Linked DNA regions of Kluyveromyces lactis. The protein of the gene in region 2 interacts with the protein of the main gene of each other region in a pairwise test. Links are inferred from orthologs where the notes say so. Each region holds a gene or a part of one and is shown on either strand. Other genes may lie near its edges.

Evidence for each region. The genes of interacting proteins can lie anywhere in the genome.
Region 1: the proteins of SEC22 (region 2) and UFE1 interact in binary tests that used the Saccharomyces cerevisiae proteins (3 or more experiments, as listed by UniProt). The link is inferred for Kluyveromyces lactis from reciprocal best matches to the Saccharomyces cerevisiae genes SEC22 and UFE1.

What each region holds. Positions count from the first base shown.
Region 1 is NC_006037.1:696,549-699,440, forward strand, and holds UFE1 (Ufe1p), read right to left. Parts: upstream 1,631-2,892; coding exon 641-1,630; downstream 1-640. Other genes in the region: ribosome dissociation factor GTPase HBS1, read left to right, coding at 1-564; CDC21 (thymidylate synthase), read left to right, coding at 2,078-2,892. UniProt on the Saccharomyces cerevisiae protein: Syntaxin required for targeting and fusion of Golgi-derived retrograde transport vesicles with the ER.
Region 2 is NC_006042.1:1,885,115-1,887,856, forward strand, and holds SEC22 (SNAP receptor SEC22), read right to left. Parts: upstream 1,259-2,742; coding exon 614-1,258; downstream 1-613. Other genes in the region: KLLA0_F20229g (uncharacterized protein), read right to left, coding at 1-281; polyphosphatase DDP1, read left to right, coding at 1,800-2,339; protein GET4, read right to left, coding at 2,382-2,742. UniProt on the Saccharomyces cerevisiae protein: Nonessential SNARE involved in targeting and fusion of ER-derived transport vesicles with the Golgi complex as well as Golgi-derived retrograde transport vesicles with the ER.

The DNA.
Region 1 (2,892 bases), on a different chromosome or scaffold from region 2:
ATTATATCTGGTAAAGTAGAATCAGGTACTATTCAACCGGGCGAAACTATCACAATATATCCATCTGAGCAGAGTTGCGTTGTTGATTCAATATTATGCGGCAATGACTCTCAAAAAGTGGATATTGCATTACATGGAGACTTTGTCCAATTGAAGTTGCATAACGCCTTCCCTGAAGATATTCAAGGTGGTGATTTGGCATCTATCGTTGGATTTGATATCCCAAGCTCCCAAGAATTTACCTCAAGACTCTTGACTTTCAGGCTGGATAGACCGTTATTACCTGGTACCTCGCTCATGCTCTTTAGAGGTGCTACAGAACAACCTTGTAGAATCAAAAAATTGTGTTGTACTGTCGATAAAAGTAATCCATCTAAGGTTTTAAAAAAGAAAGTGAAGCATTTGGGTTCTCAACAAGCTGCCATAGTTGAGATCGAGCTGGTGGAGAAAAAAAGAAGAATCCCAATGCTAACATTCGAGCAAAATAAGAAGTTAGGAAGGGTGGTTCTAAGAAAGGAGGGAAGAACAATCGGAGCTGCGTTGATCAAATCTTTAGATTATTAAAAACTTACCGTACATATATACACCATTACGTATCACCGTGTAGTAAGCAATTGCAACAGAGAGAAACGAATTAACCTTAATTTATGTAATCGAAGAATAACAATAGCAGTCCACAAATTATAGCAAACCACATGACCATGTTAGCGAGCCTATCTCCTTTCCTGTTGGCCTGTTTCAACTGTCTGTTACCTTTTTCCATTTCCATCTCCACGTCAGTCTGATTATCGAGCAATGTATTAATATTTTGTGTTTGAACCTGCAAATGTGTAGCCAATTCACTCTGTAGCGATGCAATATCTACTGCGGTTCTCCGTAGTGCCTCTGCTTTTTGTAATTCTTCGTTCTTCAAATTAAGAAGTTCTTCATGCTCTGTGGCCAAGATTTGTAATTGTTCTGAAGAGAGTTTGGACATCGTTTCCTCGTACTGTTTGATTTCTTCAACAGTTGTCGTTATCATAGGAGACTGTGATACAGAAATTTCTTCAGGTAAGTGTAATTGAGCATTGAAATCAATGGCTTCGATATGTCTTTGTCTGGATAATCGTGTCTGCTGAATGGTTGACAACCTATCTGAAATCTTCATGAGCCACATATTCAATGACTGTAATATACCCATACGAAATTGATTATTCACCTTGTGGAAACTGGATACATCGTCAATTGATCTAGAGAAAAATGGTACGGTTGCGGACCATTTCTCTAACTTTTCTTTCATCATTTCTTGTCTCTGTCTTTCATACGATTCCAATTGCTTATATTTCTCGAAATATTGCTGTAATTGAAGTTTGCTCTCTGTATCAAAATCATCTTTCTCCTGATCAGTCATGTCAGTAGCACTTTCGTACCTGGGAGTCAATTGCCTTATCACTATCTGGAATTCCATAATATGTTTCATCAACTGCTTACTTTCTTTTACAAAAGTATCCTTTACACTAAACTTTTCCTTCACCTTTTCTCTATCCTCTCTCGCTTTCGTATTATTCAATTCGTTCCTAGCATCATCAATTCCCTGAGTCTCTGCAATCACTTGCATGTACTTTTTGAAGAGCTCAGTTCTATTACTCATATTAAGGTAGTCACTTTCTTTGTATATATTCTTTTTGACACTTACTCAACATAGAAAAGCTTGAACAAGGAACGCTTATAGTCCCAGATTAGATAGGGTAAACACACACGATAGTTGCCTCTAATTGGACAGTTAATAGACAGTATAATTACCAGTAGAACGGTACCTCCTTAACCAAAGTAACCTTTGGTTAAATTTGATTCGCATTCGTTTGCCAGACCAAAGCTTCATCGAGGATGGAATTAAGAATTTAGGTAGCACGTGACATTGTTTCACCATCATTACCCGGCCATTGAAAAATTCCCACAACACGAAAACGCGTTAAGAATCAGACTACGGCTTTTAAGAGTTAAAGGCCATCTCTAGTTTAAACTCTATCTTACTTCAACCATCCTTCGACTCCTTTGGCGTTTTATCGGATCATTAAACAACCAACATTTGTCAACCATGACGCTGAGCGATGAAAACGTGAAGAGAGTTAAGCTTGAGGCTGTTAACGCGGAAGAACAGCAGTATTTGGATTTATGTGAAAGGATTATCAATGAGGGAGAATTCAGACCAGATAGAACTGGTACAGGGACTTATTCCCTTTTTGCGCCTCCACAGTTACGGTTTAATTTGAGCAATGATACTTTCCCGCTTCTCACTACGAAGAGAGTGTTTACGAAAGGTATTATTTTGGAGCTCTTATGGTTTGTTGCTGGATGTACAGACGGGAAGAAATTATCAGAACAAGGCGTTAAGATATGGGAAGGTAACGGTTCTCGTGAGTACCTGGACTCACTTGGGTTGACTGACAGAAGAGAGGGGGATTTAGGACCAGTTTACGGGTTCCAATGGAGACATTTTGGGGCCGAATATAAGACATGTGATGATGATTATAGTGGTCAAGGTGTTGATCAGTTGAAGGAGATTATTCATAAGTTGAAGACAAATCCATACGACAGAAGAATAATTCTTTCTGCATGGAACCCTCCGGATTTCCCCAAGATGGCTTTACCGCCATGCCATGTTTTCTCGCAATTTTACGTCAGTTTCCCCAAGGGAGAAGGTGCCAAACCAAGATTGTCATGTGTACTTTATCAGAGATCATGTGATATGGGTCTAGGAGTACCCTTTAACATCGCGTCGTATGCGCTACTGACGAAGATGATTGCTATGGTCTGTGATATGGAACCTGGTGAATTTATTCACACTTTGGGTGATGCGCATGTTTATAAAGATCATGTTGATGCATTAAGGACACAAATTGCCAGAGAGCC
Region 2 (2,742 bases):
TAAATGTCGTTATTTGCTATTGGTTTCAACGTCTGAATGGAATTCATACAAGAATATTCAGATTCACATTGGTGCAACGACAACGTAGACGAATTGGGATTGTTCACCACTTTATCAAACTGGAAGTGTGTCTTCTCTAGAGTCACGATAGCATCCTGACCCTTAATCGTACCTAATAATGAAATTTGCTTGGTTTGCGGATTAGAGTTCAAGACCCTGCTAAATCGAAACTCATCGATCAAAGCTCTGAAATCAACGGCATCTGCATCATTGTCTCCCATATTGTCTATTCACGAGTACTACAATAACCTCAATGTATCTATCGTGTTGTATACCGACTTGTAAACTCTATTTTACTTTACTTTCTTACATGATATTTCCCTCTTCCCTTAAGGAAGATCATCTGCTTTTTAAAGGTTTTTCATGTTGAGAAAAGAATCGTTCAAGTGCAAAAAGGCGTATTGATGATGATGAGACATACGTTAGTCAGGGCACATTCAGAGCAATACTGAGCCAATATTTGTACATTTTTTTGCTGAAGTTTATACAGGGTGGAATTATATACATATTTAAGTGTACATAAGTGTATCGATACTTCTGTACAGCGAATACTTCATCTTAAGAACATCCACCACAATAAGAATACGAAAAAGAATGCTATGATCGCAATTGGCGCGTACTGGCTAATCAATAGGTCGAAGTTGATCTTTTGTGCGGAGGCTCTGTACTTTTTAGCGTCTTGTCTTAGGGACGCACTCATATCACTCATCTTATCCAAGGAATCACCTCTGTACAATAGATCTTCGATGTTTTTTGTCATGATTTGTTTGACACCTTTTAGATCCTGATTCAATTGGTCCATGTTCCCCTGTACTCTTTTGTCGTTGTAAACTTTCTTGGTCTTTTGTAAGAAGTTGTCGAAGGATACGAACTCATACGGTCTAACGTTCGATTTCGAGAGTTGTCCCCCGTAACTGTGTTCGAATTCTTGTTGTATATCTGCCAAGTATGAGAATGCCAAATTACGTGGATAGTTCCTTTCTGCGACCACAATATAGACCACGGTGTTCAATCTGATATAATGGATCTCGAAATCACCACTTTCCACTGTAGCCTCGTTTGCTGACGTCGGAGTGAATCTTGATATTAGGATCTTCACCTTCTTCTTTTGCTCTTGTAAACTGGGATCAGTGTCATCATCCACTGAGGCACACAATGGTAACCCATCTTCTCTGAAAATCAACGTAGAACGAATCATGCCCGTGCCTATTGCCTTGTAAATCACTTGCTAAAACTGAAAGATCGTTCAGTGCTTGGTACAGGGCAATACGTTTTCTAATTTGCTGAAGTTTCATTCATTAGTGATGGAAACTTGGTTTTGATTCGATTGATTTCATTCCATGTTGAAAAGACGAGTTTAAATCGAATAACGTGGACAAATACAAGGCTAAAAAGTGGGAGTATGAACCCCATACTGACTAGCATGGTGCCCTAACCATATGAGGGCTACGAGAATGGAAGAACGTATCTGCCAGAGACGGTTTCCCAGCTGTTTCTTCTGTGGTGTTGCGCTTAATGATTCGGTCCTAACACGTATTATTTAATAATTACCCTGAAACAAGAGTCTCTGTCAGATTCACAATTGAACCACCGATCAACGTGTATTTCATACGTGGCCGCACGTTCATGTATCCTTCAAACTGACCACAGCTGGTAAGTCACAGCTATGTGTCTTGTGTACCCTGTTGATGAAATCGGTCTGAGAAACAGTCTATATATATAGTATTAAGGAACCGAAGATGTCAGACTTTATCAAGACCGACACCTCAAGAGTAGGACGTGAGAATCAGTTGTATTCAAGTGTCACTGGTGCTAGACTCGTTGCAGGATGTATAATACTGGATGAAAGCCGAGAGAATGTCTTAATGGTCCAGTCATCCGCTCATAAGAAGAGATGGGTGTTGCCAAAGGGTGGTATTGAAAGTGATGAACCTGACTTTGAGTCCGCTGCAAGAAGAGAGACCTGGGAAGAAGCTGGTGCCACAGGCGATATAGTGAAAGCACTTGGTTCCATTGAGGATATGAGACCTCCAAAGGACTGGAACCCAGATTTGGAAGCATTCGAGAGTTCGAATGACGAAACTGTTAACAAATGGCCTCCCAGGTCCGAATTCCATTTCTTCGAGATGATTAATGTTAAATTGGAGGACAATTATCCTGAAGTGAAGACAAGAAACCGTCAATGGTTCTCCTACGAACAGGCCAAAGAAAACTTGACCCGTGCCAAGAGGCCAGAGCTCATTGAGGCTCTGAATAGAAGTAGCATCAAGAAAAGTTAGCATTATATATAACATAGAGTATGTTTATACCGAAGACTATTATTATTTACCTCCAAAGAAACCAGACATCATATCTTGCAAGAAGTTGATTGGTTTCTCGACCTTGATACCGAAGTATTCTTGGCCCAAGAATTGTAGCTCAGAGTTGTATTTGTTGGCAAGAGTTGAGTATTGTGATTTTAGATTCTGGAAAAGAATAGTTTCTTGAGTTTGACATGCGATTATTAACAACTGTAAAAAGTTCAACGATTCCCACGATGAGAAATAATCAATCTTATATGGGCCTTTCTCTGTTAACTCAAATTTTACATCTGTCTTGTGATTGGTAAACCGTTTTAAAAGTTCTTTAGATCCCTCCAATGCATATTCGATATTGAAGATGAACAAATAGTTGAATATCATT